Linked DNA regions of Saccharomyces cerevisiae S288C. Changing the gene in region 4 together with the main gene of any one other region gives a genetic interaction. Each region holds a gene or a part of one and is shown on either strand. Other genes may lie near its edges. The genes, in order: TMN2, GND1, ACO2 and SEC59.

Region 1 (5,563 bases), on a different chromosome or scaffold from region 4:
AGAAGATATCTTCATTTCTGTAGTAGAGAAAAGAATTATTTGTAGCATCTTGTTTAAGGAATTTGACTGCGCTCACGTTTCGTTTGTCCCCAGGGCCATTGTGCACTGCTTATCCTGTAATACAAGGAATGCCATAGTTATAGATATAGGTACCAATTATACTACATGCGTACCTATTTTCGACCTTAGACCTTTGCAACAGTTCATAAAATACTCAAAACGAGGCAAAAGACAGGTTGAGTCAAGAATTCCTCTCCCGGGCAGTCTCTACATGCCAATATTTTTTGACGAAGAATACAACTCTAAAAATTGTGAAGTAGATGAAACCCCGGTAATAAATCTTGTCAAAAATATTGTAGAGTCACTTCCTATCGACTTGAGAAGGCCACTGAGAGAAAATATCATTATAGTAAACATTGAAGAGGCGTATGAAACAGTAATAAGGAATTTATTCAAGTTAAAAATGGATACGTCCAAAATCCAGTTTCCTAAAAATTACTGGCAGGCTGGTTCTGCATGCGCGAAAATACTTCTGCACTATAAGGGGAGCAACATTGTAGGAATAGAAAGAGATGAGTTTTATAACAATCCTCATATTGCTCCTGATTGGTTTGATTATTACTTCAGAACTGGAGTGAAGCGCTTACAATAGGCTTTATGTATATGTAGAAAACAAAAACAGGAAGTGTTCTCTTCACCAAACTGCGTCTTTCCACAACAATTAGCCTTATTGAGCTTTTGATGTAAAAGTTTATGATAGTAAAGAGCTATTTTTAACAATAGAGGAGAAAAAATAAAAATGGTCTCTAGCGGGATCGAACCGCTGATCCCCGCGTTATTAGCACGGTGCCTTAACCAACTGGGCCAAGAGACCAATTTGGATCGAAAGTGTTGTATCTCAAAATGAGATATGTCAGTATGACAATACGTCATCCTAAACGTTCATAAAACACATATGAAACAACCTTATAACAAAACGAACAACATGAGATAAAACACGGCCTTCCCTAGCTGAACTACCCAAACGTATAAATGCTTGAACAATTAGTTTAGATCCGAGATTCCGCGCTTCCACCACTTAGTATGATTCATATTTTATATAATATATAAGATAAGTAACATTCCGTGAATTAATCTGATAAACTGTTTTGACAACTGGTTACTTCCCTAAGACTGTTTATATTAGGATTGTCAAGACACTCCGGTATTACTCGAGCCCGTAATACAACAGAAAGTTAACCATTAATATTTCACCTAATTACACACTCTCCTAAAGAATTTGGATTTGATAACTATCATGTCATTTGAAAGAGTAACTCGTTTTCAGATTTATTATTGCCGGAATAAAAATAAATAAATATATCGAATAATATTCTTTATTATTAATGTCGAATGAGTTGTTAGAAGACTTCATAACAATTATCGGATTTAATGGAAGCTGAAGTGCAAGAATTGATAATTTAATAAGATAATGAATTTAATATAAAATATAAACGGAGAGAGAATAATGTTGTTATATAGAATTGTTGATTCCCTTTTGCGGATTTCTTATATCCTCGAGGAAAACTTCTAATATATATCCAATATAATCGTTTCCAAATTGTGAAAGAAAAAAAAATCTTCAATACAGTGTATTAGTGCTACATAAAAACGCGTTAAAACTTGCATTCCAATTTATCAAAAAGTTTGCCAGGACATATAGGATATAAATGCATTGCGAAGTAAAACACTTCTCAAAAAATTAAAAAAAAAAAAAAAAATAAAACTAACGTATTCACTTCTTTTACTTTAGTGGAGAGAATAACGAAATCACTCAACTTTAATGGCAGAGTATATCTTCCTAATAAAAAACATACTACTAAAAAAACCAATCGCTCCAGTGACGACACAACATAATGCAGATATAATAAGTGAATATCCGAGATAGAGCACGACAGTAATAACTCCACCAAGCTTGAACTTAGTAAATAGTATGGAGTGGATGAACGTATAGATTGAACATCCTAAACCACCAATAATAAAACTTCTCCATTGCCATAGCCAGTTTTCTAGACATAACGAGTAATATGTGATCAAGATGGTAACTAATGAGGTTGTCAAGGTCAACAATAAGAATGAAAAGAGTAAAAATCCAAACATATAAAAAATTTTGTTGAACCATAAACTGGAGTAAATGAAGTACAGCTCAACCGCTATTGATCCGAAACTGAAAATTCCAGCGATTAAGGTTGCTTGTGCTGTTCTCAAGTACCAGGGTTGATATGGAATCTGTCTGGCGATTTGGTTTGTTTTAGTTGGATGCTCATCCCAATTACACTGCTTATGAGCAACAATTGAACCCGCAAACGACAACGGAACAGAAACTAAAAACCATAGAAGAATGATAAAGAATAGGCTTCTCGCTGGGATGACACCTGAAGAATGTGCAAATAACAAAAAGAAGTTCATTATTACAATCAGTAAAAAAATTGCTCCAGGAAGTAATATTGGCGTTAATATCATATTCGCCTTCCAATAGGGTCCACGAAAAAATTTGTAGACACCCATTGAGGCGTAGGATCCTACAAATCCAAATAATGCATAAAGAACAAACATTACAGTTGGCAGGGATCCTCTGGAAACAGGCGACACAAGACCTACTGCGGCAAAAAAAATGCTACACATGACCATCAAAAATAACTGCATACCGGATCCCACAAGAATGGATAGCAGCATCGACTTAGATGGGGTTCTAAATACGTCACCATGGCCCAATTTCCAGCCAGAATCTTCATGGAATTCATTATCCAAGTTTAGTTCGTTATAACGAGCGAGATCGCTTTTCAAAGCCCGTAATAGAGAATGCATTACAACAGATGACAACAAAATAACAATAACGGAAAAATTTATTAATGAAAACCATTGTATCTGCGGGTCATAAATATGTAGATACTTATCCCATCTCGTAGCCCACACTGTATCAGAGGCAACAAATTTAACAGAATAAGTGAAGTAAACCTCGTTATCCTTATCCTCGTCTAGTATCAGAGGTTTTCCCGTTGTAGAACACGCGCCAGGTGACGATCTTTCGATAGATACAGGGTTTACAATGACACCAACAACTCGGTAATTATCGTTTCCACGATCGTGAAATTCCACTTCAATGTCAAAATGATTTACAAAGTAAGGTAATTCTACCGTTTTAACTAAATTAGGCTTAACATTCTTGGGCAGTCGAGCATCCAATATAACATCCTCATTTGAGGCCTCTGAAGTAAGCTCTTCCATCGTACTGGGAACTGCTTTACCGTCAACGGTTTGCTTAACATCTGTAAAACCTAACTCAAATCCTGTGCCGTAATAGTTTGTTTTTGTTCTGCTATCATAAGCCTTTCTTGCTGCTGGCAATCCATCCACGAGCCAGTTTTGGAAAAATCCACTTTTAATAAGGGTGTTGATAAATTTGGCATCTTTTCCCGGAATCGTGCTTTTACAAAGTGCAACACACTCTTTCTCCTCTAACATGTTCAATTGGAATGGGGAATTGTAAATTCTGTCACCAAATATGACTGAACCTAACGACTCAGGCTGTTTCTCAACGTGCTCTGGTCTACAAAAATGAAACCTCTTATTATAGTAATCATAGGAGTAAAGAAAATGTTCTTTATCGCCTGAAACATCGTTACCTTCCTCATCTTGATGCTGAAAGTAAATTGATGGAGTCAAGCGGTTCACCAATAGCGGGATTTCATCGCCTGAGTGATATGTTGTGGGAGATAGGCCTGGCAAGGAAAATCCTTTAGTTAAAGTTGCATAGCAATAAATCAGCAACCAAACACCTCGTTTCATTACCGATTATTAATTATCAATATGTGTACTAATATAATTGTCAAAATTTATGATGTAAATTTAGGGTTCCCAACATATTTTACTCAACTGTAAACAAGTCATAATTTCCTCGGACAAAATTAGGCAAAATAACAGAAAAACCAATGGATGGGATGGGTAGGAAAATGAGTAAGTAACCCAAACAAACGGTACCTCTTTATTCAGTCGGCTTTACAGATACTGAGGTAACTTATAATGGTTTTTTCTTATGAGCACTATATGAATCTCCTTTTCCATTTGGATAACAGTAAAGAAACGGTGCCTCCAGAGATTGCAAAAAGAATAATTTCAAATGCTATAGCTCCTGTAATAACAGTTACTTCAACTCCTCTCTTCGACAAACATATTCAAGAAACGTACAAAGTAGATTCTCTCTATATGCTGCTGCGATTCTTTGGCGGTTGTGTCTCTGATAGAGATCAAGCCAATGAAGCGAAGGTTGGACAGCATGAGCATGAGGTTTGTGATGCAAGTGACTCGACGGATTCAATTCCCAAAAATAAAAATTTGGAAGTGCCCAATTTATCAAAGAAAGGTAGTCGCAGTAGGTCGAATAGTCTTTTCCAGAGGGATTCAACGCAATCTCAATATATCAGGTTTACAAGGCCATTAGGTGACTTGATCGAAACAAGAGATGCAAATGATATGTTATTCAATTACCATTCTTTAGAGGTATTCTTAGATAATTATTTGAAATTGGTTGCAGCAAATACTGATGAAATGGTTCCTCATAATCTTCTTAAGAAATCCATTTATCATAGTTTCTTTTCACTAGCAATTTCATCCACAAATAACTTATCGCCCTATGAAACTTTTAATCACCCTATTCTTTCCTTGATTGCTTTAGATATATCAAATGGCGAAGTTTATGAGGATGCAAGAGATCTTTTAGTCAATTTCAAGAATCTTAATCATAATACTGAAAACTTTCCTATCTTCATGAATACAAATGAAATGCTTCCAGTTTTCTTACTCTGCTACAATGACGATTCCCAAGAAGAATTCGAAAAATGCCAGGCGTTAGCTAAGAAACTAAAGAAGCAGTTGTTTGTTGAGAGTATCTTACTAGCACTCTGGAAGGATTCTTTTATTTACGACGAAAATTCAGTCATACAGTTACACCAACCAGTAATGTCATCGCTTGAAGAAATTCTCTTCTTCCTTCAAGCTCCAACTCAAACAACACTCTCTCTGGCTTTGATAAACTCGATCTATGATATGCTTGATTATTTGGTTTATGATTTAATGATACCATTCATGAAAAGAAAAGTGTCATTCTGGGAAGAGACAATTTTACAGCCAAGAAAGTCGCTATTTAATGGTGCAAAGTTTTTCAAAAAATTTATGAATAAAAATCCTGTCAATGGTAATCACCAACATAATTCTCTAACGAGAGACAGCCAGGGAAATGAATACTTCGCATCGTCATCTTCTGAGTTTTTGATGAGAAAGTTAGCAGATTGGTCTATGATGCTATCCGACTTCAAAACTGCTTATTCCACATACGAATCGCTTATGGATGACCTAGATGCATTTCCAAAGTACCTGGCATCATGCATCGAATGGTGCGCGGTATCACTATTGATGGGTGCGCAGAGCATAGTCACCGTGAAAATGATCAAAAACGATATAAATCCTCTTATCGAAAGGGCATTAGCCACATACGAAAACTGCTCACGAATACAACGTGGTAAAG
Region 2 (5,157 bases), on a different chromosome or scaffold from region 4:
ATAAAAATTCTTGTTAAATATTTCAGGAACATCCTCCTCTCCTTGGTGGTTGTTATTTTTCCCATTTTGTAACCACCTGCGCATTCTTTCCCTAAATTTGGTAGGCTTTTTCTGCTTCGACTGCTTTGGGGAAGTTGAGGTTATTTCCCCAGAAGGATCATTCTCATATGTGCCAGAGCTTCTCATTGTTGCTAGCTTTTCTACTCTACTTCTATCATGATAATAGGCACTATTGTGAAATTTTTCACTTTTATTTTATTTTCTGACTTCATGATTTTGTGTCGCCTGTTTGCCTTTCCTTACGTAAAAAAAAAAAAAGAAATGGAGATAGTTTCGGGACCCCGTTTATAAACCTTTAATATTTTAGAAAACACATAACTTCATATACTATTTATAATTGCATTTGGATTTATTTATCTATTTATTATTATGATTACTTTTACTATAACTAATCTATTTCATTAAATTTTTTTGGTTTATGTCCAGGTTGGAGATTTCCTTTAAGCTTGGTATGTAGAGGAAGAAACATTACCACCGTGGCCAGTCCAGTTGATATGGATATCCTTGTCTACTGGCAAGTTGTCAGAAGCACATTCTGGCAACACTCTGAAAGTGTGAGCACCAAAGTAGTCACGTTGAGCTTGTAGTAAGTTGGCTGGCAATCTTTCAGATCTGTACCCATCGTAGAAAGACAAAGCGGTGGAAAAGGCTGGTGTTGGGATACCGTAGGTGGTAGCCAACGCAATTGACTTTCTCCAACCAGATTGAGCCTTGGTGACGGCATCAGCGAAGAACTTGTTGAACAACAAGTTTTCCAAATCTGGTTCTTCTCTGTAGGCCTTTGTGATTTGACCCAAGAAAACAGATCTAATGATACAACCACCTCTCCACATCAAAGCGATGGCAGGGTTGTTTAGTTTCCAGCCATAAGTAGCAGCAGCTTCACGGATCAACATGAAACCTTGAGCGTAAGAAATAATCTTGGAAGCATACAAAGCTTGTTCCAAATCATCGACAAATTGTTCTCTGTCCTTGACGGCGTCTTTTGGAACTTCTGGGCCTGGTAAGACCTTGGAGGCTCTAATTCTCTCGTTCTTCAAAGCAGATAGACAACGGGCAAAGACAGCTTCACCAATCAAAGTAACTGGCATACCCAAATCCAAGGCGTTGATGGCAGTCCACTTACCAGTACCCTTTTGACCAGCAGTATCCATGATTTTTTCAACTAATGGCTTACCGTCGACGTCGTCGAATTTCAAAATATCTCTGGTAATTTCGACCAAGAAGGAATCCAAGACACCATTGTTCCATTTGGCAAAAACGTCACTGATTTCCTTATCGGTAAACCCACCCAATCTCTTCATGATGTCATAAGCTTCACAAATCAATTGCATATCACCGTATTCAATACCGTTGTGAACCATCTTGACGTAGTGACCAGCACCGGCTGGGCCAACCCATTCGCAACATGGTTCACCGTCGGATTTAGCAGAGATGGATTGGAAGATGTTCTTAATATGTGGCCAAGCTTCTTCAGAACCACCTGGCATCAAAGATGGACCGTAACGGGCACCTTCCTCACCACCGGAGACACCAGAACCAACGAAAAGAATACCCTTCTTCTTCAATTCTTCGTAACGTCTATTAGAATCTGGGAAGTGAGAGTTACCACCATCGATGATAATATCACCCTTTTCCAAAAGTGGGACGATTTGGTTGATCAAAGCGTCAACTGGAGCACCAGCTTTAACCAAAAGCATGACCTTTCTAGGTCTCTTCAATTTGGAGATGAAATCTTCAATGGAAGTAGCACCGATGATAGATTTGCCCTTAGCTTCATTGGCCAAGAAATGGTCGACCTTGGATTGAGTTCTGTTGTAAGCACAAACAGTGAAACCGTGGTCAGCAGCGTTCAAGATCAAATTTTGACCCATGACGGCCAAACCAATCAAACCGAAATCAGCAGACATTTTATTGTAGTTTTTGTATAGAAAGTGGCTTTTTTCTGTAATGGCAACAATACAGGTTTATATGTATCAGGCTATTTACTTTATTATGTAAGAAAGGACCCCACTAAGAAAAAAGGAAACCTTTGAAAAAGAAACAAGCTCAGGAACAATACTGCAGCTTTTAACGAACATCAGGCCCATTTATATAATACAGCCTCGAAGCCCACCAAGGCCAAAGCGCAAGGCCGCGTGGACCACCAGGACGAAGCACCGCGTAACACCGAGGCACCGTAATGTAACACCGACAGCCACAATAGGTACAAAAGCAGCACAACCTCGAGGCGGGACGAAAGAACAGAGAGGTAGCAGGTGATTTACGTAGTTACTATGTAGCATGCATGGAGTTATGTAGAAGGGACATCGTTGACGTTGATGGGAAGGAATAAACCACTCTTACGTTTAGGTCTCTCTGGGGTTGTCGGAGTAGAACTAGTCTTGAATGGCCGAGGTATGAAATGGCCATCCTTGTCGTTTGGCGGTGGCTTAGGGGTAGAGTGTATAGGTGCCGTTGTATCCTTTATAATTATCGTCGGCGGTTCAGTGAGTGTCGCAGTAGTTGCCGTCGTGATCCTGTTTGCGATCAACGTTTGCAAAGTTTCTACAGTTCTTTCGTTGATGAAAAATGTAGATAATGTTGGTGACAAGATTTTGATGTCGATAGGGTTCTGTAAGCCTGTTCTTCTTACGAAGTGATGGGCCAATGGTATGTCTATGTCACTGTTGTCTCTAAACAAATCTTGTATTGTTTGCGGCGGAAGTGAGTATTTGCTATTGATCAATTGAAAATGGTTTGCTAGTTCTTGTAGAAACCTTAAGGAGCTCGTCGGAAACTGTTCACATAGGGATGTTAGCGATTTTTCGGCCTTAATTAAGTCATCGTAGTGGTTTGAAGGTATTAGGCTGTCGGGTAGCTCTAACAGCCATAATTTTATCAGTCCGACGAGATCATTAGTGACATAGCTGTGCGAGTTTTCAAAAAAATGAGCAGTGATTATAGAGTTTGTATTTTCGGTAGTTTTCGATCCTTTGAATTCCCCCAATAAGTCTCTTTTCAAATTAGAAACCCTTACAAAATCAATATCCCTGTGCCAACTTTGTATGACTTTATTAGCATTTGGTTCCTTTTCAATCTGCCGCAGTATAATCTTTATTGCCCCTAACGTATCAAGAGCAGCCAGTTCATTATTTATTTCACTACCACAGAAAAACTTTTCGCTTTTTATGGAGATTTCTTTGCAAGCGTCGACTGGATCACTCGCTTCTAGGATATTCCACCTGCGAAAGGGTATGCCATTATCCCTGAGGAAAAACCCTCTTACATCCGCATTGGCAGTTTCCTGTGGCAGTTGTGCTTCTTGTAGAGAACACACAGGTGAGTCAGTAAATTTTTCACATTTTTGTTGAAACATCATGTTTGATGATTCTAGAGCTCGTTTGATTCCGTCCTCCATTTTAGAGTAATTTTTACAATAATCATAAATGGTTTTTTCCAACTGCACTTTAGAATATTCCAACTGGCAACACTTGGAGAAAAAAATATCTTGTGATGATTCAAGTTGCTGTTTTAAACTCTTCCACTCATTTTTATTCATATCTGTACTTCCCGCTGCATCGCAATCATCATTATCATGTTGACTAACTTTGCGGATCCAATCGGATATAGATGTTTTGATAGATGAAACGTTGGACTTTTCTTCGTGTTCATTGTCGGAGTGTGTTAACTCACCATACGATTTTTTTTTTCTGTTTCCAGCATTACCATTACTCTCTTGCGTAGCAAGGACTTCACTGTTCCAGTAATAGTATTTTTCCTGGTCAAACTGAGAAACTTTGCTAGAGTAAAAACTCAGGGAATATTCTTGTATTATACCCAGTTGGATGAATTCGTTACCTATCCTATCGATATTAAATAAGGACAGGTTTAGTCTGGGTTCAAGTTTTTTCAATTCTTTGATCAATGACCTGCCTTGGAAACTTTGATTTGACAATCCTGGAACGGAAAAGACACTTTTCTCCAGGATGACTTTTCCCTTCAAGGTTTGCAAAAATGACATAAATTGGTCGCAATCCTCAAATTTTAACCTCTCGTCTAAAGTGTAAGGAAACTCGCATACGAAGTTCAACCTGGTTAACGGTGCACTATCCTTTCCATTATCAAAAACAGAGGAAGAATTTTCCACTGGCGTATTGGCTTTTTTCAATTTATATATAGACTGAACTCTTTTCTCACATCCAATTAGTGCCTCTTTAGCTGCGACTAAATCCTTAATGTAAGCTGAATAACGAGATGACAAATCGTTTTCTGCCTCACGAAGGAAGCTCTCATTAAGATCTCTTAGTTCTTGCAATGGAATTTTACAATCTCTTTCAACTTGCTCTGTTGATATTATATTAAACTGTTTGCTCATCACTTCCAGCAGCCTGCTATTCATTGAATTGGTTGCTTCCATTTTTTGTAAATTGTTCAATGTTGGTTTCCAAAATTTGTTGACAAAATCATTGTAAAATTTGATGTCTTTAATCAGCAAATCATTTTCTCTCTTCATATGTTTTATGAATAATTTGATACCTGTTGTATAGTCTTTGGTCCAATATGTGTTCCTTAGTGAAATTTTAACTGAGTCGCAATCAATGGAGAGTTGCCTCGAATTCTGTAATTCATCACCAATAATATCTTCTTCGTTATGCTCTTTAACAGACATAACTAGAGACCGAAAGAAAATGCTCTCTTTCTCTTGCCTTTGTCTATGTAATGACAATACTTAATCTACTGGGCCTGACTGGTTTTTTGTTTACTAGTTGCTCTAAAAAATGCAAACGTCAATAAAAAAGAAAAATATGGAAAAGAAAATATACTTTCCCGTATTAACTTGGGTAAAATATAGTAGTATTGTATTGGTGATTTTTCTTTCCTGTGCAAAATAGTTGGCAGAGCATTACACATATTTCTTATTTAGAATATTCAAATAAAGAAAAACTAACTACATGTTAAAAAAAAAGGCAATCCTAAACAGCCAATCTATCAAAGTCAGGTTCTATCTCATAACCGAATACACGGGCTAGAGAGTAGATGTACTTCCTTACCGAGTTGATGACTACACGAGCTAACCCAACAGCCCTTTTACGAAATTTTGGCTGGTTGTTCGTT
Region 3 (6,162 bases), on a different chromosome or scaffold from region 4:
GTTATGTAAGGAAAAACTTTCCATGATGACTAATGATCGTTTAGCTATTGGGTCGAGATATATTAAAAATTTACTGGACTTTTTCCCCGAAATCGCGAAGGAAATATCATCACCTCCTTCATCCGTATCATCGTCTTCTACTATCCCTGTTTTGCCTAAGCCAAGGAAGTCGTCGCCAACCAGATACAGTGAACTAGGCTGCTTAACCCTTCCTAGAAGTCGAAGCCCTAGTCCACAAAGATCTGTTACGTCTCCAACGTACACACCTGTCGCATTACAAAATACACCAGTCTTGAAACCTAAGTCTTCAAGCAGAAATGTTTCATCCCCATCATTCAATGCCAAACCTCCACTTCCTATTAAGGCAGTTACACGACCACAACTGTCTCTAACTTCCAATTCTAATACAGATTTGGCATTAGCTTCTTCTTCTACAGATACATTATCCTCACCGACGAAGACTCCATCAGCAGACTCGCTTCCATTGAGTAACAGCAGCACCGATTTAACGATATCAGATAATATCAAAGAAATGGTTAAGGACGAGCCAGCAAAGGATAAAAATTCTGTGGAAACAGATATATTCGTACAACAGTTTGAAAGTTTAACCCTCGTCCAAAACGCGAAGATTAAGAAGTTCGACAAAGAACTACAAGAAAAGAAGAAGAAAAATGAAACTACTTCAAAGACAGCAGATAAATTCTCTCAAAAGGGATATTCAGATATTAAAGCAAGCAACAAGGTTAGCAGGCTAGCTGCATTGTACGAAGAACGTTTACAAGGTTTACAAGTAATGAATGAAATGAAACAAAGGTGGTAACTTACATAATTGTATCTTTTTAACACATACATATTGCATATACGACAACAAAATACCCCCCACCCTTGAGTTAAGCCGTAGTTGAAGCAGTCGAGATCTCGTGTATAATATTATATATCAAACAATATTACGTTTTTTATAGTAAATAAATAAATAAATAGGTAGGTTATTTGCACCGTCTATATGCAGAGTCTATAGAATTGTGTAAACTAGCTTATGACTATTAAATCGGACTCTTAATTTTTAGCTAATATCTCTTCAGAATTTATTCGTTTCTTCGTATATTACCAATATAATTGATTGCTGAACCAGCTTTGAAAAAATCGATTTGATCTTTAGACATAGTATGTTTTGCCTTGATGGTGAACGATTCACCGTTTGGTTTAGTAATTTTAACATCAATTTCACCACCGTTATTACCATCCTTAGCAATCATGTCAACTAGGTTCAACGTTTCTAAAACATCTCCGCTTGATATTTTATCATAGTCAGATTCGTTGGCAAAAGTCAATGGCAACACACCTTGTTTCTTCAAGTTTGTCTCATGAATTCTTGCAAAAGACTTAACTAAAAGAATCTCTCCGCCTAAAAATCTTGGTGACAAAGCAGCATGCTCTCTTGCGGAACCTTCACCATAGTTATGTTCCGCTATCACGGTCCATGGTCTACCGTCTGATTTCCATTTCATCATCAAACCAGGAATATCATATTCAGTTCCGTCAAGGTCATAAGCCTTGTTGACTTCACCGGTTTCTTTGTTTTGTGCACCAATCAATGTATTGTAAGAAATGTTTTCTAGATGGCCTTTATATTTCAACCAGACGCCCGCAGCGGAAATATGATCTGTTGTACATTTACCTTCAACTTTCAAAAGCACGTTTGTCTTCAATTCCTTCCCGTTCCAAGGTTTGAATGGCTCTAATAATTGCAAACGATCAGAATTAGGGTCTACCTTAATCTCTACATTGCTATCTGGCTTTGGATCCATTTCAGGATAAAATTTGTCTCTACCGTGTTCAAATCCTCTTTTTGGTAACTCATCACCCTTTGGTGGTTGGAATTTGAAATCCTTCCCATTTGGCAATTTAATTGAGTCAGTTAGCGGATTGAACTGAGCATCTCCAGAATAACTCATCGCTGTTACTATTTCTGGGGATGTTAAGAAATTCATTGTATTCCTATTACCATCGTTTCTAGCTCTGAAATTTCTATTGAATGATGTAAAAATAGTGTTCGTTTCTTTTGATGTTTTCGAGACATCTTCCCTATTCCATTGTCCGATACAAGGGCCGCATGCATTTGCTAAAACTTTGGCACCATTTTCTTGGAAAATATCGATGATTCCATCTCTTTCCAAGGTAGCTCTAATTTGTTCTGAACCAGGGGTGACAAAGAAGGGGATACGTGGTTTCAAGCCGGCTTTGGAAGCTTGCTTGACCAAGTCGACAACACGACTCATGTCTTGATAAGATGAATTGGTACATGATCCAATCAAACCAGCGCTAACTTTTTGGGGCCAGTTTTCCTTCAAACTTTTTTCGGCATATTGAGATATTGGGGTTGAAAGGTCTGGTGTAAATGGACCATTAACGTGAGGTTCAATTGCGGATAAGTCAATTTCAATAACTTTATCGTATTGAGCATCTTTGTCGGCTCTTAAGAAGTTAAACTTGTTTAAAGCAACATCAGCTGCTTCAGCGACCTCTGCTCTATTAGTTGCTTGCAAATAACGCTTGTGAGCTTCTTGGTAAGGGAAAGTTGACGTTGTAGCACCGATTTCAGCTCCCATATTACAGATGGTTGCCATACCTGTGCAAGATAGAGTGGATACACCTTCGCCGAAGTACTCGACGATATAACCAGTACCACCTCTGACAGTTAGTAAACCAGCGAGCTTTGTGATTACATCTTTAGGAGTGGACCATCCGTTTAACTTTCCGGTCAATTTAACACCTAAAATTTTTGGTGCTTTTAATTCCCATGGAGTGCCTGTGAGGGCATCAACTGCATCCGCACCACCAACCCCGATGGCAATAGCTCCCAGACCGCCTGCATTTGGTGTATGGGAATCAGTACCTAGCATCATTAGACCTGGAGCTGAGAAATTTTCCAAAACAATCTGGTGAATGATACCAGAACCTGGGCCCCAGAATTGAATTCCATATCTCTTTGCGCAACTCTCCAAGAAATCGAAAACTTCTTGGTTGGTAGCTATGGAAGAGGGTAAATCTTTAGTTTCACCGTCCTTACCTACAATTAAATGATCACAATGTATGGATGCTGGGACAGATGTTTGATTTAGACCGGTGGTCATGAATTGTAGAAGCGCCATTTGGGCAGAAGCGTCCTGCATAGCTACACGGTCTGGGTTTAGCTTCAAGTATTTATTACCACGGATGGTGGACAGATCAGAAGAAGTAATCGATTCTTCAGGATCGCAAAGATGCGAGTATAAAATTTTTTCTGCTAGTGTCAATGGAGCATTGTTTGTTATTTGTTTAATCTTGTCTAGGTTGGTCAAAAGTTTTGCATAAGGTGGCACTTTTGTTTGAAAATTTTTAGATACAGAGGGGAACATATTGGCATGTGTTGCCAAATGCCTCTTTATATAAAACCTATTAGCTGAAGATAGCATCGAATCTCTTGCTTATTGCTCTTAGAGTTTTATGTTTAAAGAAAGTCGAAAATTCTTATTTTTGCAAGTGCGCAAATCGAATAATACGAAAAGATGAAAATATTTTAGTTTATATACATGTTTGATGCCATACCATCTATTGACATAATCTACGATGTGAGAGCTGTATGATATTGTGGAACTTTGTATATATTGAAAAAATTTTCCAGTGGAATTTTACTCGCGATGACTCAAGAGCGTGAAAAAAAAAAAAAAAAAAAAATTAATTGCTAAAAAATCAAATATATGCTTCCAATCGGATTTGAACCGATGATCTCCACATTACTAGTGTGGCGCCTTACCAACTTGGCCATAGAAGCTTCTATTTTATATTTGCCTGACCTATTTTAACGGTTATATTCCACAAACATTTTAATCATGAAGCAATTTTTTTGATGTTGATGTGAGAGTAATAAGCACTGTGCTGAGAAGAGGATCAACAACATGATATTCTACGGAACGTAAAGGATACAATGTTATTGGACTAAGAATCGTCTATCATCTTAAGAAATGGGTGGATGATCGGACAATTATTGAGAAGGTTTCATTGTGGAGAACAAATCGCAATATTGTGCAATCCTTTAGATATGTCAAGATAAAATACTAGGGAGGCTTCGCCCATTCATTAAAGAGTATAGCTACCGCATACTGTTTAGTAGTATACTATCACATGTGGTGTAAAAAGATAACATAAAGATTGAGAATCAGTCATCAAATGTAATGGAAGCTGAAAATGCAAGGATTGATAGTGTAATAGGAACGAAACATATGAAAACGGAATGAGGAATAGTCGTATTATTAGTATGTATAGATTCCATTTGAGAATTCTTATATCCTCGAGGGGAACTTCTAGTATATTCTGTATACATAATATTGTAGCCTCTATCAACAACGGAATCCCAACAATTATCTCAAAACTCACTTATATCTCACAAAACACTCAATAGCGACCCTTAAATGTTACTGAACCTCATATTGTTTCGCTCTGCTCCCTTATATATTGTTAATGCAATCGGGACAGCTCACTGACTGAACGGTGAATAGTGGCTCCCGGAAAGCTGAGAGTTGTGAACTCGCCACCTCTGTTAAGTAAGTCGTAAGCTGTTAAAGCTGCGTCACGAGTAATGAGCTGCCAGTTCGGCCTCTGATCGCTGTACTTTATGGTAAAAAGATAGTTCCTAGTAGAAGACGAGTCATACTCGTAAACAAGCACCGCTGGATACTCTTCTCTATCAAGACGTAAAGCGTACTTGTAATCTCTAAGTTCGCCAATCCAAATTTCTGATATGCCACTCATTATCCTCACCCCACATGCTGACACCTTATACATTCAATATCTCCCTTCTCCTACTTAACCTTATGTTACCCTTTTTTTTTGGCTTGCATTTATATTTGGTTTACATAGCAACAACCGATAGCGGGTAACAGCATTAAGCTTCCCATCTCCCGTTCACTGTTATTACCTTTGGCACGTAAAGGGCCGGCTAATAATGTCGTATTTCCACTGATTTGGATGTATGTTGCATGGTGCTAGATTGTGAATAAATCATTTCCACTGGTTTCTAGCAGAGGTAAGAAAATCAGTAGTAGCGGCAGCAGCCAAGAAAAATGGCAGCCTGGCAAGCAGCGAAGGCCATCTGTGCTGCATTTCCACACTCCTTGTATGACTGCATACGCATAAAGAGGTGCCTTGCTGTAGGCGTATATGATCCTAAGCAACAGAGAAACCACGGTTCTCTTCTCTTCTTATTTCGTTATTGTCTTCCCTTTTTACTATGGGTAAAGTCGCCCTAAAGCGGGGCGCTCACAATATCGCCGCAGCTACAGCCGTTTTTTTTTTTTTTGTTTTTTTTTGCGCTGCTTCTCGAAGAATGAATGGCTCACTGAAAAATTTTGATTCATCGATATAAAGAACACTGTTCACTTCGATGTCATCCGGCCAATAAAGTTGTTTTTAGGATAAACGAGTAAGTGGTAGCTGGTACAGGATCATGAGATTTTCACACTTCTTGAAGTACAATGCTGTCCCAGAATGGCAAAACCATTATATGGACTACAGCGAGCTGAAAAATCTTATTTACACGCTACAAACAGATGAACTTCAGGTTGGTGATAACGAAGAAGGATTTGGCGCAGGAAAGAGCTCTAACATTACAGATAGGTTCAAAAACAAGTTTTCTTTTAAAAATGCGAAGGAAGATACGTCTTCCGGTATGAACAAAGATGCAGGCATCGTTGAGGAAACCATCGAGTTGCGAGAGTTGCCTACTGCTCAGACGGTCGCTGCCAAACCTTCTCCTTTCAGAAGAATGAAGGAAAAGATATTTTACAAAAGAAGGTCGTCTTCCGCATCGTCCGTCTCCTCCACGGCCAACGAAAATCTGCAATTAGACACTTATGATACGTTTGTTGGTGATTTAACAGCTGAAAAACAGAAAGTAGATGATTTTTATAAGAGGACAGAAGCGAAGTTCTACGACAAATTTGACGCGCTGGTGAAGGACCTGAAGAAAATCGGAGTTATAGAATACGATATCGACGATGATACTCTGTTTAACGAACCGATTGCCAGCACAAATGACGAAGTTCCCCCACTAGACTTGGATGATGACGAAGACGACGACGAATTTTACGATGATCAATCTAATATTGAAGATAATACTGCTTT
Region 4 (4,976 bases):
AAACAAGCCTTCTTGCGTTTCCGTCATCAATTACCATCCAATTGGATCGAAGCTTACATGGAAAATCCTTTCACCCTCATTAGAAGTGTTTCTTACAAATTTGGTATTCAATTGCTCAATAAAGAATACTTCTTTACTAGAGAACAATTGGAAAGTTATAAGCAAAGTCTTGACAAGAAAATTAGGAACAAGTTTGTCGAACCACCAACTACCTTCAGTTTAAGCGATTTGACCATTATTCCACGTGTTAAGTTCTCAGAATATACTTCTTCAGTTAGTGAGGAATTTTGGGCTCAAGGTGCTTCTATGATCAACGAAGACAAACAAAGTGCTTTGACTTTACTCGCTCAATCAATTACAGTCTTAGAAGATGTTAACAATATTTTACATCCCGCCGTTGCTGAAAAGTACTTGTCATTATCTGCCATTTATAATAAGTTAGCATTATACCCTGAAGCTATCGCGTTCTGTCGTAAAGCATGTACTATTTATGAAAGAGTTAGCGGTATTGATTCTTTTGAAATGATGAGGGCTTTAACTAATTTAGCAATTCTAGAATTCTCTAATGAAAGTCCTTATAACGCTACTGTGGTTTATAATAGGCTCGCAGAAATCCTAAAAGTTTATGAGTTACCAAAAATCCATCACCCAGCCCCCACAAGCATTTTCAACCATTTGGAACAATTAGCCCTAGGTGTTCAAGATACCAAATTGGCTATTGAAGTCTTGGGACAACTAAGCTCCTATGTTGTGGAATTAGAAGGCAAAGATTCATTAGCATATGGCTATACCGAGTCACGTTTAGGTAATTTGTTTGCAGCATTGAAGGATTTCCACCGTGCATTAGAGCACATCACTGTAACCCAAGGGATTTTCACCAAGCAATTGGGTATGAATCACACGCACTCAGCCCAATCAAGACAGTGGGTTAATGGTTTAAGCTCATTAATAATGGATTTAAAACAAAAGAAGCAACTTGCACAAGATCAAATGTCGACAACGGGATCAAATTCAGCTGGCCATAAAAAAACCAATCACCGTCAAAAGAAGGATGACGTTAAACCTGAATTGGCTAACAAAAGTGTGGATGAGTTGTTAACATTTATAGAAGGCGATTCTTCCAACTCTAAGAGCAAAAACAAAACCAACAATAAAAAGAAGCATGGTAAGAAATAGAGAGCTAACTTAACAATCTCGTTTATTTATTATTTTTCTTTATATCTATAGCCCATACTTGTATATACTACGTGTAAGTACTAGATATAAAACGAAAAAAAAATACTTACAATTATTTTTTTTTCTTTACTGCTCTATTCTTTTCTTTATTCTATTCATAAATGCAAACAATTAGTTATGTAATTTTAAAAGTTGAAAATAATTGACTTTGTCAAAGAGTAATTAATTTTTCACAAATCATCATAAATGCAGGTATCAAAATATTGTCATTAAGCACACTATTACCTTCTAGCACTCCACTCAGTGTACAAAGGGTAAGCAATTGTAAAGTAGTTAGGTGGTTAAAAATTGCAGCTTTATCAAAACGTAACAATACCAAACAAACGATAAAACTCGTTACTATAAACGCAAGAGTTCCCTCTAAAGTTTTTTGTGTACCTTTCCAACGAATGCGGCCATACCTTTTACCAATAATAGATGCTAAGGAATCACCAATTCCCAATCCTATTAGACCCATTGGAGAGTTATTCATTAATAAAGGTGTTGATATTCCGAAGAGTAAATAAAGGTATGATATGATCAATGGCCCGCTGTGGTCCCTATCATCAGCAAACCTTCTTAGTTGTAATTCAATAGCAGATCCTAACGGCGGTAGGTTTTGAAATCTTATGTACTCAATTGATAAGAAGACTGGTATTGTTCCGGACAATGCAATTTTCACAAAGTTTGAATCCATTTGGAATGACGGTATTATGAGTAAGAAAATGATGAAATGCCACAATTTTCGGGAGGTGTTCAACGATAGACTGTCCTTCTCGATCAATATACTTGGTATGGACAGTATAAGAATTGAAGACCAAGCAAACAAAATCTTTTGACGAATAGTAGACTCTAAGATATATTTTACCAGCCAAAGTAGCGGATTTTCACCGTCTTCTAAATGAATGAAGGTATTGGCAAAAAGTGGAAGCCCGATGGCAAAGGATATTGACAGCATAAACGGTTTAAAGTGCATTACCTTTTTGAGCACATAGTTAATTGAAATTATTGTTGTGAGAGCAAGGATAATGCCCTTCAAAATTCTAAAATGTACTGTGCCAGCCTCTGAAACGTACAGAATATTGGTTAATAGGATACTAAAAAGATTAGAGTCGATATTATCTAAACTTTTCAATTGCCCAATATACTTCAAAATTAACGACAGTAAAGAATTTATTACTATGCTAATAATATTCTTTAACCTGTCACCAGCCTCAAAATTAAAAAATATGAGGCAGAGCTGTAAAATGATCACTACCAACTGAGTTCGCCATCTATATGAATTTAATACCGAAAGGATCAAAATAGTATTTATCACCGTAGATGATGTATCGAACAACAACGAAACCATAAACGGTAAATATAAACTGTAAATGGTATCGAACTTGGGTAGGCTTTTGTAACCATGTTGCCAATATTTTGTGAATATCAGACCAACCATTATCAAACACACCACAAAGACATTTACAAAGATTTGTTTATAAGATATATCAGCGGTAACAATGGACCACGGCTGAAGCCTTTCAACACAGTAAAAAAAAGTGCCCAACAATATAACAGTTTGAACAAAATTCGAATAAAAGCACTCAAAATCTCGAGAATTCCCGCCCACATCAAATTTACGAGTCCTCATATTGATTTTGCAGATCTCCTCAGTTGGCATTTGGCTTCCCTCAGTTTTCTGGGTTAGTTTAATTGTGGTAAAGGAAGCATGAGGTATTATAGCGACCATATAGGCAATGAACAGAATAACGACAGTTTATTGCCTCGAAAGGAGTCTGATTTACTAGCTAAATTCTAATATTTGGCTTACTACAAACTCTATCTTTCATAGAATACGTCCTTCGATACCATTTTCACCATCTTGACTAACAACGTGTACAACTCTTTTGAAAATTACGTGCCTGAAAACCCAACCATTGCGGACAGCCCTCAATAACGTATCTTAGCATTACCCGCACACCCATACATCTAGAACTTTTTTCATTTCTGAAAATTTTTTTTTCTTCTAGGATTACTTCGGGTATAAATAAGAGACGCAGAAATGGTTATTGGCAATTAATGCTTCCTCTCTTTAATAAGTTACAATATTAGAATCCTATGATTTCCATCACAAAGATCAATACAAAAGAAATATTCAGATGAGTGGGAGCTATGAAAGGCTGAGAGAGAAATTGAATCCATAAAACGTTTTTTTCCGTGTTCTTTTTTTCTTCTTTATCAAAGTTAGTTTTTCAGATATGTCTTTTGTCATTATCACAGGCTAATTATTCCCTTGATGACCAAAATAAATTTTTACAAACTAGAGTTTCTGAATCTTTTGTGATTAGAACGTTTATTCTTATTTCTGAGGTTTTTAATTAGCAATAAAGAAGAAAAAACTGAAAGGAAAAGTCTAAATAGAAATACAGTAGTATTTCTTCAATTTCTCTGCTCTCCTTTCATTTACCACACCCATTTCAATTTTCTTTTTATTCCATATTTATTCAAAGGTGTTTGTTCATATGATGATTATAACAAAAACAAAAGCTGGAATTACTGGCTGAACGAGTATATGTTGATACGTTTTTGCACTATCCTGACCTAGCAAACACCTTTAAAATAAATACTAGAAAGTTGACACATTTCCATAAATTGGAAGAATACATTTAAGCTTAGAAAACAGTAGTTTTTTAGTGCTATTCTTCCGTAGATTGATGTTTTCGATCTATTTGATACAATGGAAATGAGGATCCACAGCACTGGGCACTGAGGGGGAAACAAATATCCTTTCAAATGAGTGACAATGCTTTAGCGGGCCTAGAAAACCCGCGCAACTGATCCATTGTAAGTTTTTCTGAGGGCTAACAGAATTTTCTATAGGGAAGAATGGATTTTTTTCTCATTTTCGTATAATTATGTGAATTGGTTTTTATGATGAGATATTTATAGATGACGAGTCTGATCATTCGTGAAGACACAACTATTAAAATTACCATTCATGCCTTTCTGAAGCTGTTTACATTATTCTTTTCGATTAGCAAAGAATTTGGAAATAGAAAAAAATCGACAGATAACTAGTTCATCAGTTGATGTGTCTGTATTGCTTCCATGTTTTTTAAAGAAAATTTCTACCTTAGAGACGTCAATGCTGCAGAAGATGAAACAAATTACTCAAATAGACAAGCATATGTCTGATCTTCATGATTGAAAAGAGCAATTAGTGTCTGATGCAATTTAAACTAGAAAATTTATCTGAGAGAGATGAGAGATCGTACAAACTGTTTCAAGGTTTTTAACTTTTCTCCAATTTCAAAAATTGTTTATGATGATTTCCACATTTCACGACGGTCAACTGCGTTTTTCGAATGTTTATCGATTAACTTTGATGATATTTCGCCTGTGACAGGGCGTGGTACTGAGCTTTAATATTTTTAGCAAATTTAGAAATTGGGTCAAGCGAACCATTGTAATGCTGACTATTTGGACGACTCTAATCTCTTCAATATATTTGAGTTCAAATATATTAACTTGAGTAAATTTTCTCTTGCGTTAATTATAACTAATTGTGATGTGATGACAACTTCTTGAGCTATATATTTTCTTGAGAACATCAATGAAGAAAACGTCTCATCAAATGATTTGCACGTCAGTCTGATCACAAGCCATATAAAATTCTTTAAGTATTTTATCCATTCTACCTTTTTCATCTGTTAGTGATCGATTAAAGCAACACCCAGACATTACATGGCCCATATGGCAAAAATTTTCATCTCATCTAC

What was found.
Region 1: mutations in SEC59 (region 4) and TMN2 together harm fitness more than expected from each alone (negative genetic interaction), as found in Saccharomyces cerevisiae (one large-scale study listed by BioGRID).
Region 2: mutations in SEC59 (region 4) and GND1 together harm fitness less than expected from each alone (positive genetic interaction), as found in Saccharomyces cerevisiae (one large-scale study listed by BioGRID).
Region 3: mutations in SEC59 (region 4) and ACO2 together harm fitness less than expected from each alone (positive genetic interaction), as found in Saccharomyces cerevisiae (one large-scale study listed by BioGRID).

Annotation. Positions count from the first base shown.
Region 1 is NC_001136.10:667,207-672,769, forward strand, and holds TMN2 (Tmn2p), read right to left. Parts: upstream 3,829-5,563; coding exon 1,810-3,828; downstream 1-1,809. Other genes in the region: ARP10 (Arp10p), read left to right, coding at 1-652; TRS85 (Trs85p), read left to right, coding at 4,063-5,563. UniProt on the Saccharomyces cerevisiae protein: With EMP70 and TMN3, plays a critical role in the late stages of a nutrient-controlled pathway notably regulating FLO11 gene expression. Acts downstream of RAS2 and TOR. Essential for cell adhesion and filamentous growth.
Region 2 is NC_001140.6:467,773-472,929, reverse strand, and holds GND1 (phosphogluconate dehydrogenase (decarboxylating) GND1), read right to left. Parts: upstream 1,971-5,157; coding exon 501-1,970; downstream 1-500. Other genes in the region: SSP1 (Ssp1p), read right to left, coding at 1-186; RGD3 (Rgd3p), read right to left, coding at 2,354-4,711; SVP26 (Svp26p), read right to left, coding at 5,016-5,157. UniProt on the Saccharomyces cerevisiae protein: Catalyzes the oxidative decarboxylation of 6-phosphogluconate to ribulose 5-phosphate and CO(2), with concomitant reduction of NADP to NADPH.
Region 3 is NC_001142.9:55,359-61,520, forward strand, and holds ACO2 (aconitate hydratase ACO2), read right to left. Parts: upstream 3,456-6,162; coding exon 1,086-3,455; downstream 1-1,085. Other genes in the region: ECM25 (Ecm25p), read left to right, coding at 1-820; MBB1 (Mbb1p), read right to left, coding at 4,498-4,824; PHO90 (SPX domain-containing inorganic phosphate transporter), read left to right, coding at 5,486-6,162. UniProt on the Saccharomyces cerevisiae protein: Catalyzes the reversible dehydration of (R)-homocitrate to cis-homoaconitate, a step in the alpha-aminoadipate pathway for lysine biosynthesis.
Region 4 is NC_001145.3:293,792-298,767, forward strand, and holds SEC59 (dolichol kinase), read right to left. Parts: upstream 2,948-4,976; coding exon 1,388-2,947; downstream 1-1,387. Other genes in the region: translation initiation factor 3 subunit CLU1, read left to right, coding at 1-1,176. UniProt on the Saccharomyces cerevisiae protein: Catalyzes CTP-mediated phosphorylation of dolichol, the terminal step in de novo dolichyl monophosphate (Dol-P) biosynthesis. Dol-P is a lipid carrier essential for the synthesis of N-linked and O-linked oligosaccharides and for GPI anchors.